2 linked regions of the Yarrowia lipolytica genome follow. The protein of the gene in region 2 purifies or fractionates together with the protein of the main gene of each other region. This does not show direct contact. Links are inferred from orthologs where the notes say so. Each region holds a gene or a part of one and is shown on either strand. Other genes may lie near its edges.

Region 1 (4,748 bases), on a different chromosome or scaffold from region 2:
ACCTCAGACATGGATGGTGGAGTGACGCAGTTTGAGGTGAAGAATCGATAGACCCAAGTACTTGTACTACACCAGTAGTCATATTGGAGCTCTTGGTGAAGAGTTGTACAACGCTCTCGGATAGTGTCGGCAAAATATGGGTCTACGGCTACTGAGATCCATCTGTACTTCATTTCAGGGCTACCAGACGTATCTCACCCGTAGGGGGTACAACTGTCACCAGTATGGTAGATACAAGGTCTCCCGCAGCGACACAGGGCTTGGACGGACTCCCAATGTTACTATCCACTTATAGTAAAGGGACCGGCACTTCCGCTCTCTCTATTGTCTCAAGCTTAACTACAGTCCCACAGTACATACTATACTAGGAACTGGCAAAGCTATACGCTCATTCTGCTGGGACTTTTGTGAGCAGAACAGACGGGAAGATTCCGTGGAGTTCTAGGAGTTCGGCGATTGAAGTCTCCACATTTCAAGTTATCAAGTCATCATCAAGTCCTATCAAGAGTCCCTTTGACCTAGTAGTGACCACTCACTCACTCGGGGAAATCAAGGTCTCTCATATGACTCTCTGCACGAGGTTCGCGAATGAGCTTCTTCTCCGAGCCGAATCTCAATGTCACCAATAGCAGCTCTTTAGGACTCTCACACAAGAGCACCTTCGAGTCCCGACTTCCAGCCCAATTGCGTCAGATTCACCACCACAGAAGGCTGGTCGAACTATGACAACATCCTTATCTGTGCTCGTCTCTTTCAAACCAATCACGGCTTCACAGTTACGAACCACAGCCCGTGCTAGAGTATGTACCTTGTACAATGCACTCGGTAAGACATATGAATGGCTTCTCGCTTATGAATCAGAATCCAACACTCACCATGGTGAATCTCAGTCTACAATACAATATCACCCGTGGTTCTACAGTTCAGATACACGCTCGCTTCGGTCTACACGTCCGTTCACTTTACTATGCAAAGTTCACTCGATAGGATACGCAATTTTTACTCTAAACTACACTTAGAATCGTCGCTTCTGGGAAGAGAGGAAAGAAGAGTGGGTCTCGAGGGGAGAGGGGGTGAGGGCAGTCTCGGTCCACAGGTTGGGGGTCAGGAAGCCGTAGGTGTTGGCAATAGCAATGAAGGTAGCCTTGAGGGTGTTCTCCAGGGTTCGGGTGGAACCGGCAGAAGAGGTGTAGACATCCTTGATACCACCGAGCTGCAGAAGCTTCTTGACAGCAGGGGAGGCAACAATGGAAGAACCTCGGGGGGCGGGGATGAGTCGAACGTTGACGGATCCACACTTTCCGGAGGTCTTGGTGGGGACGGTGTGAGGCTCACCAAGAGAAGAACCCCAGTATCCTCGTCGGACGGGGATGATGGCGAGCTTGGCAATGATGATGGCGGCTCGGATGGCGGTGGCAACCTCCTTGGCGGTCTTGATACCGAGACCGACGTGACCGTTGGAGTCACCAATGACAACGACAGCCTTGAATCGGGTTCGCTGACCGGCTCGGGTCTGCTTCTGGACGGGCTTGATCTTCATGACCTCATCCTCGAGAACGGGCAGGAGCTGGTCAACAATCTGGTACTCCTTGATGGGGAGAGCGTGCAGGTAGATCTCCTCCATGGACTTGATGTGACCGGCCTTGACAAGTCGACCAAGCTTGGTGACGGGAACCCATCCCTTCTCCTCGTCCTTTCGGCCTCGGCCTCGGCCACCTCGGCCACGGCCTCGTCCGCCACGGTCACCTCGACCACGGCCAAATCCACCTCGGGGAGCAGCTGCTTCAGTAGACATTTTTGATATATTTGTCGGTTGTGAAGATGAAATTCGTGGCTCGCTTTTTTCACTACCTGCAGTTGGGAGGAAAGAGTCTGTGACTGTTTTCCCAAACGGGAAAAATCATGTGACAGAGAAGAAGGCTAAACAATGGAAGCTTATTTGGGGTGATGAGATGGATGGGGAACGGGATAATTGGGGAAATTCAGATTAATGCACTCACCGATCTATTTAGAAATCGTTTTCGCCCGATTCAAGGAATAAATTCCCGGTACCGTTAGTAACGACAATTCATTAATACCAATAAAATCAAATTAAACAAAAATTAAGACCGAGAAGGTGTTGGAAAGGGTTTACACTTGAGATTCTGACACTTGTATGGCTTTTTATTATTTGTTCAGCCTTTTCACGTCTGTGGTAAGCGGTGGGAAGTGGTGATTAATCTGATTCAAAACGGAAAAAAGTCGATCAAAAGACTGTCATAGCTGAACATACAGAGCAGTCCGATTGCTTCCTGTTTGAAACGTTTATGCGCAGCCACTTGCAGATACTGTTGGCTGATTCTACTGAGCTGTTGGAGCTGGTCCCGCCTCTCCAGATCGTATAACGTTTTTAGCCAGTCCCATTGTAAAGACGGCACAGGCGGTGCGTGTAGTACCACTAACGGTCTACAATCCAGCTACAGTTTCACCGCTGTTTGGTAGTTCCAGGATTCTCGTCTAAACTGCTTTGCGCGCCAGCTTTAGTGGTTGGTTTCCGTTGGAATCTTGAATACGAGAGCTCGGAACTGACCATAGTAAGTATTTACATACTTGTAAAAAGGAACATTCATCACCAGCCTCCAATTCCAACCACATTAAAAGTAGATCATCACTTGACACAAGTGCGATTATTCATTTTCATGTTTCTCAGGAATCGACAACGACTGTGAACCGAACTACAAGTAGCCGACAAGTGTTCACCAAGCCCAGATTACGAGTGATGCTGTGATATCACATGTCCGCGACAACAGTTTATGTCTGAAAGGGTTATATTGACGCAAGCCCTCAGTAAAAGTACATTGTATCGTCTCAAAAACTGTTCGGTTCTCCTCTCCCATTTTTCGCACTGATTCCTATCAAGATTCCTCTTGTCGGAGCCGCTTGTGCTTGACTCTCGTATATTGCGGACCTCATCGCCTGTTTCATTAATACAATGCAGCATGTATCGTAATTACAGTACCTGTAAAAATTAAATTTATGTTTTTTTTTTTTTTTTTTGTTTTTTTTTGCACATGAGAAGAAAAATAAAACAATGGAGCAGGCTTTGCGGTGGTACTGGCCAAGTTACAGTACCCATTAACAGTAGCAATCCATGAACTCGTACTCCGTCGAATGATACAGCATCGCACATGTTCAACTAGTGCCACCTCCACTCAGCAAAGACAATAGATGATCAGGATCATCGCAGGTGTTTTTCTTGTGCATCTCAGCCAGCCGCCGCAACAGCAAACACAGACTACAGCCCCGTTTTGTTCCGTCCTGGGCCGGGTGCATGAGACCTGTGTGTTTCGACACGCCACTGCAGCAGCAAACATATCACATGTTTTAGCGAGGAGGGCAGTTGGTGGCGGGGCTGGGAGAAGAAGAGTGCTCTGGAGGACCACACACGGTATATATAAGACATTCGAAAGGACACAAAACACAAGGGCTCCTTCCCACATAGTTCCACATGTCTCTAATACTGCACACACCCTCCAATAGTTCCTGCCGACCTTCTGCTTAAGGTTCGCTTGATCGGCAAGTGGTTAGTCTAGGTTTGGAGTCAGGCGTCGTCAAGTTGCTACCAGTTATATTATCACCTCACACTTCCTTCCAACCACACAAAAAACCATCATGTCGTGAGTAACAACCCGGAGCTATTGGACGCCCAATAGTAAGGACCACACGGATACTGTGACGAGCAGTACCATGCCACATGACCTCAATGGTTCATCATACAAGACCGCAATGGCAGTCACCGGCTACAAGTACCCAGACGGCGAGTTGTACGAGACGACTCAGAGACTGTCCATCGCACAGTGGCCGAGGCAATCAAGACATGTTGACCAGGCAATTTGCACACGACGCCTCCCGCCACACACCGTTACTAACCCAGCCACACTAACAAGAACGAGAGCTACGCCGACGCCGCCCACAAGGCCCCCCCTCAGACCAAGGAGGAGAAGCAGTGCCCCGTTCTGACCCCTGGCCAGCAGGAGGAGATCGAGAAGAAGGCCGAGAAGGTCGAGAAGGAGTTCCGAAAGGTCGAGAAGGATGTTATTGCTAAGAAGGAGGAGCTTGCCGAGGAGCTCAAGAAGGACGGCAAGGCTCTGTCCGAGAAGTCTTCCGAGCTCTACGCCAAGATCTCCAACGAGCTCCAGAACCCCGTCGTTGCTGCCAACGTTGTTGTCGGCATCGTCGCTGCCATTGGTGTCGGTTACTCCGCTTACCAGAAGCACACCCGAGGTGAGCTTGACGGTAAGCTGGCCGGCATCTACGTCGGAGGCCTTGCTGCCTTCGGTGCTTTCCAGTACCTCATTTCTGCTCGATCTTACAAGAAGTTTGAGTAAGCCAATAATTAATTGATTAGAATGTGTATTTGCCCACCCTACCGCGACCAACTACTCGCAGCTTTTGAGTGCCTGCTTGTGCTTGTAGTTATTCTGACTAGTGTCGCCACCGTTGGCTATTTAGACCAGCTCCGGATGGTCACCTGGCGTTTTAGGTTCACATGCGTTATCGGGGTTGGGGTTCTACTGAGTTGGGTGTTAGGATATATATATATATACTATGTCTATATCTACGAGCTCAAGTTTTTATGTTGTCGTAAGCGGACGACCTGAGGAAAGTCTTTTCTACATTTGCATATTAACAGAAACACAAGTACCTCCAACATGAGTCTCTCTCTCTCCAACTAGTCCACCCACACCCCGTCGATATCAACTTTACAT
Region 2 (5,790 bases):
GCGTGGGTGGCGTTATCTGTGGTGTCTCGTGACGACTATTCGCGACTAGATGCGCGTGACATCCTCCAGAGTCCGATCAAGACAATGAGAACCCGAGGTCAATATCTCCTGATATGACCCTAAAATTGAATGTTCCTATGTTTGCGCGTGGCACTCGTGCTCCTGGCGTTTTGGGCACTTTTTTAAGTAATACCCGCCAATTCCCCACATGATCATGAGAGGAACCAGCTGGTTGTAAAGAAGTTGTTCCTGTAGATGGTGTATCTGATGATTTATCTGATGGTGTATCCGGTGGCGTGTCTGGTGGTATATCTGCTCATCTAGAATCTCTCTCTGGTGAATGAGTAAGCACTCTTCTAGCGCGTGCTACGTGGGGAAGTGAGTTGTAAGTGGTTATGTTGACTATATCGAAACAATCGTACTTTTCTCATTTTTTGTAACATATACTATATAAAACAAATACGATAAAATAAAGAATAGTATAAAATAAATGAATACTGTAAAATAAAAAAAATACTATAAAATAAAAAAATACTATAAAATAAAAAAAATACAAAAAAAATAGAAAAAAAAATATGTTTTTGCATACTAGAGACTTTTTGCTTCTCCTCGAACCAGTCGCCTTTGGTGGTATATTCCAGTAGATGGTTTGCCCGCTTATATAACCAAAGTGCAAAAATCGGATAGATATATTCATATAATTTTTATGTTTTTGGTAGTACTATTTTTTTTTTGCATCAAACAACATTTTTCTCAGATAGTCCAAGTAATTTTGTTGATTGGTTAAGTATTTGTACAGTAATTGTACAGTATTGAAATGAGTTCCCATCATTTGGACCAAGTGAGAACGGATTGAAAATAACACTGTATCATCACGTGAAGAGGTCGTGAAAACTTCTTAAGAAGGCTGAAACTAACGTCTACCGGGCAGAGTTTCTCTTTTCGTCTATCATTTCTGGATTTTAACAATACATAATCTATAGGTTGGGTACTGGGTGTAGGAGTAAAGTACAGTCAACAGATCCAGCATGTTCAGACTCAAGAAGGCGCCGGTATCGAATTGCCGTCGACAAGGTCGTTGCACATCTCCAGCGACAACTCGTCACCACTACAACGCCAATTAATGTTTACCCTTGGACTTGGAAATCAGCTTCTTCTTGGTGGCCTTCTTCATCTTCTCCTTGCGCTTCTCCTTCTGAGCCTCCTTGACTGCCGCCTTTCGCTCCTTTTTAGCATCCTTGTCTTCAAACTTCTTGCCCAGTTTCGAGGTCAGGGCCTTTTTCTCCTGGAACCGCCGTTCGCGCTCCTCCGAGTCAATCGACGAAATGCTCTCGTTGTCAGACTCGCTTTCCGAGCCCATCTCTTGGTCTTCTTCCTCGTCCTTCTTGCCAATGAGCGACGAGTAGATGAGATCCTTGCCCTGGCCGGCATTGACCATTTCCACGTCTCGCTCGACGTCATAGACCTGGTCGAGGTTCTGGGGAATGTAGACCGACCGGAACACGGCGTCATCGGCCTCTATTTGGTCCGTGGACTCTTCAATGGGCATCGCTTGGATATATGCGGTGAGCGAGTCGACTGTTTCCTCCATTCGTTTTTTCGCCTCTGCAGGGCCAGACATGGTAGCAGAAGTGTCACAGACAGTAGTGGAGTCATCGATTACGGAAACTTTGTCATCCTTGTGTTCATCCTTGTCTTCGCCCTTGTCTTCACTCTTATCATCTTCAGCCTTATCGTCACTCTTGTCTCCAGTCGTTTTGTCGCCCTTTTCACCATCCTTTTCATCCACCTCCACCAACTCCCGGGAACTAACGGAGATCTCGTCGGTGATTTTGATGTCTTCCAGAAACGGGCTGGTAATGAGATGGAAGAGTGTTCTCTCGGGAAACACGCTGACTCCATGTTTCCGGAAATAATCATTGCAATTCTTGATATCCATTCTCAGAAACTCCAGAGAATGAGGATGATCGTGTTCAACCGACTGCGAAACGTCGATAATGTACAACTTGCGCTCATGGTACAGAATGTTGTACTCAGACAAATCGGCGTGGACTAGCCGACACTTCTGATACATGATTCGCATGTACGCACACAACTGATGATACAGAGCAGTGTATTCCTCGGCAGGGTTGGCAAAGAGCTCGGAGATTTTGGCATCTCGCAACCGGGGACTGGGCCATCCCTTTTTGTCGCCCAGAAACCCCATCACCAGAACATGAAGATGTAAATGAAGAGGTTCCGGACACGGGATTCCGGCGGTATGCAATCTCTTGAGGTTTCGGATTTCCTTTTCAGCCCATACCTTGACCATTTTGCGCGGATTGTGGCGCGAATAGCCATGTCTGAACCGGTATTCTCCACTCACATATCGATCTCGGTCCTTGAACACCAGAATTGACGTCTTGTAGATCTTGATGGCACGATGAACGCCCTCCTCGGTGCACGCATGGTACACGTTGGCTTCTTTGCCGGTGGAAACGCACCCGTTGACCTCGAAAATAATTCCTCGGTTGATCATTTTGAACAGAATCATTCGGGTCCGGGGATCCAGAACCTGCTCATTAGTGGCTCGATCAGCCCGGTCTTTGGTGGCGGTCCCCATGAGAGCAGAATTGCCACCTGTCTGAGATCCACCTCCAGACGACTTTTTCTTGCCCTTCACCTGCCCATCACGTGCAGCAAGCCCCTGATGAGTCAGTGAATCAAGATAGTCGTCGTCCATACGTAATCGGCCCGTGTACTTGCTGAGGTCGCTGTCAGCGGTCTGTTGTGCCGGTTTTTCGCCTAAAACGCTTGCAACCACCTTCTTCTGCTTGTTGTACCGCTTAGTCACATTTCCCGAGGTGATTTCCTCTTCGTAGTCGTCCTCCACGATTTCGTCTTCCTCCTCTTCGTCCTCGTCAATAAGGTCCTCATAATCGACAGTGACCCCGTCAAGCTCCTTGTAATCGGGATCTGTCGAGGGCAGCAGTGTCGAAGATGCTCCGCTCGAAATTTCGCGTTCCCAGTCCATGTTGTTGTCCTTCTAGATGCGTTGGTGTGCACAGAAAATAAGTGATGTAGAATTTTTTAAAAAAAAGAGGTTATGCACGATCAAAGGTTATTTGGGGAATTAATAAATGTAATTTGAATTTCAATATAGGAAAAAATCGGAAAATCAGAAAAATTGTCACATGGAACGGTAAACATGTCAAGTGAGGTATATAGATGAGTGGGGGTATCACTTGATCTAAAAATCATTGGGGCTGGAGATATTGTCTAGATATACTTCCATTTTTTTCTAGATGTGGCGATACATTAATCAAAGAATAGTTGGGGAATTCGATTTTAAATAATACTTAAAATTAAAAGAAATACAAATTGTGAGGAATGGATGATGATTCAGAAAATTCAACAACCCAACCCAACCATCAATGTATATGTAAGAGTGTCAGTTGTTTAGCAATTTTCAATATTCTGGAATTTTCAGCTCCAGAGTTCTCAGATGTATCAGTTCTCTTTCAGTAATTAAGAAAAAAAAAAAGAAAAAAAAACAAACCTCTTTTAAAATTATAAGATTTTCCAATCGACATTTATATTTTATTTATTAGGAGATTCACGATACATCTGTGAGCATTTTTCTACGCAAGAATCTGAATAAAATCTGTCGAAAATTCAACACTTGCGAGCCTACCTGCGTTTGCAAGAATCACCCTCGACTCAGTTTTTATGTGTTTTTTTTCCCCTACTTTTTTCTTCTTCATTTTCTAATTGTGCTTTTATTCGGAGAAAACTACTCTACAAATACAGTACTTCTCAACGGAAAATCAATTGAATAAATCAGTGGGCTTAGCACTTGCAAGCTCCCTCGCACTTGCAGGTCTCACACTTGCAATCGGGGTTCTTCTCGCACTCGCAAGCCTTGGTGCACTGGCAAGACTCGCACTTGCAAGGTCCGCAGGAGCACGACTTGGTGTCGCAGGCACAGTTGGTGCAGGGCTTGGTGCAGTGGCAGTTGGTAGAGCAGGCCATTTTGGTAGTTGGTGAGATTGTTCGGGTGGATTAAAAAAAAACGTCCGGCGGAGTTTTTCTTGAGCGACTGGTTAGATGGGTCTGGTGGTGATTGAGTCTCGGGTAATTGAGTCTCTGTCGATGATTGTCTGTGAAGATGTCAAAAGGACCATACCACCGCCCTATATATACTTGTAGGGATTATCGCTGCTCGGGTTGCCGTCATATGATTTCTTGTATTGCACTTTTGCATTCTGTCATTTTGGGTTTCTTTATCGTTTTCTTGATTGAATTAAACTTTTCAGACCAATGGCAAAATAGTCTCAAAAATAATAAAAAAATCGCCCAAAAAGAACCGACCCCAAAATGTCCGGATTCCGCCCAAAAAAAACCATTCGAACGCCCAGCAAAGAGGCAAAAATCACGTGACTCCAACGGTACCGCGAACGCCCTGTTTCCCTTCGGTTTCGCAGCCTAAAAACCGACAAAACCGCTTTCCCCTTTGCGCGCCGCCGCCCCACAATCAGAGTTCAGCAACAAAATCAAACGTGGCTAATACGACGATACAAAAAGATGATAAAATCTAATCGAAATCTCGAATCGGCCACAAAAACACAGCCAGAAATCAGATTAAGACCAAACAAACACCAAAAAATACTGCCGATTTTTGCCTCCAAAATGACCCCAAAAACAAGACAATTCAAACAACCACAAACACATCATAATCCCACTTCCTTCAACTTTGCCAGCAAACAAAACCTACTCCATTCTCCACATTCCTAGTCAAAAAAAGGACACCCAAAAGTTTGGTGGCAACGCCAAGAATTCTGGGCAGAGTCCTTTTCGCCATTGGATCACTCCAACCAATGGCGAAAAGGGCTCTGAGTTAGTCAACCGTAGATGAGTAAGCCGTGGAGTAGTAAGCCATACATTACTAAACCATACTTTACTAAGCCATAACCCATACTTTACAAGCCATAAATCAATAAGCCCTGGTGTTGCCACCGCAATTCCCGAACCACGATAACGCTTTCACATGCACCGCCTCCTGCAGTTGCCTCTAAACAGCACAATTCAGCTCTTGCCTGATATCAACAGGTTAGGGTATAGGGTAAGGGTATCGCAATCAACGTATCGCATTCTGGAATCCGAATCGACAGCAGGTATCGCATCTGCATCTGGGATATCAAAGAAATCACTGCGAAGGTCAGGTGGATGGGGCATGAGCGGTAACGGGCAAATGAAGTTTCCTTTTTTTACGCCACAGGTTATGACCAACAAAGGTTATGACCAAGGAAAACGCCTCCTGTATGCACGTTGATGCATGGGCGGCTGTCAGGTTATGAGTTGGGCAGTCGACAGGTTATGACCAACTTCCAAAGGTAGACAGGTTATGACCGACAGCCCTGCCCTGGCGGGCCACAGGTTATGACCAACTTCCAAAGGTAGACAGGTTATGACCGACACAGCCCTGCCCTGGCGGGCCAACAGGTTATGACCCAAACTCCCAAAGGTAGGACAGGTTATTGACCGACAGCCCTGCCCTGGCGGGCCCACAGGGTTATGACTTTGCAACCCCTTCAGGCCCACACAGTTTATGAACTTCCGCCCCCCCCCCCCCCCCAATCGACATTGGGAAAATGGCGAACGGCGAACGGCGAATATGTTGCAAGCATAACGGTGTATCAAAAGAATCGAGCGAATGGTACCAAATTGCTGAATAATGAGTATTTCCAATAATCAGTACAAGGAACCAACCTCTTATATGGCATAAGTGGTTCATTAAGAGTGGTTGGTTTA

What was found. The genes of interacting proteins can lie anywhere in the genome.
Region 1: the proteins of YALI1_C30795g (region 2) and YALI1_E17466g purify together in Saccharomyces cerevisiae (affinity purification with mass spectrometry; 3 studies listed by BioGRID). This does not show direct contact. The link is inferred for Yarrowia lipolytica from reciprocal best matches to the Saccharomyces cerevisiae genes RIO1 and RPS2.

The regions. Positions count from the first base shown.
Region 1 is NC_090774.1:1,744,819-1,749,566, forward strand, and holds YALI1_E17466g (40S ribosomal protein uS5), read right to left. Parts: upstream 1,796-4,748; coding exon 1,016-1,795; downstream 1-1,015. Other genes in the region: YALI1_E17484g (uncharacterized protein), read left to right, coding at 3,652-3,656, 3,914-4,367. UniProt on the Saccharomyces cerevisiae protein: Component of the ribosome, a large ribonucleoprotein complex responsible for the synthesis of proteins in the cell.
Region 2 is NC_090772.1:3,076,539-3,082,328, forward strand, and holds YALI1_C30795g (uncharacterized protein), read right to left. Parts: upstream 3,014-5,790; coding exon 1,121-3,013; downstream 1-1,120. UniProt on the Saccharomyces cerevisiae protein: Required for the final endonucleolytic cleavage at site D converting 20S pre-rRNA into the mature 18S rRNA. Required for the final steps of cytoplasmic maturation of the 40S ribosomal subunit.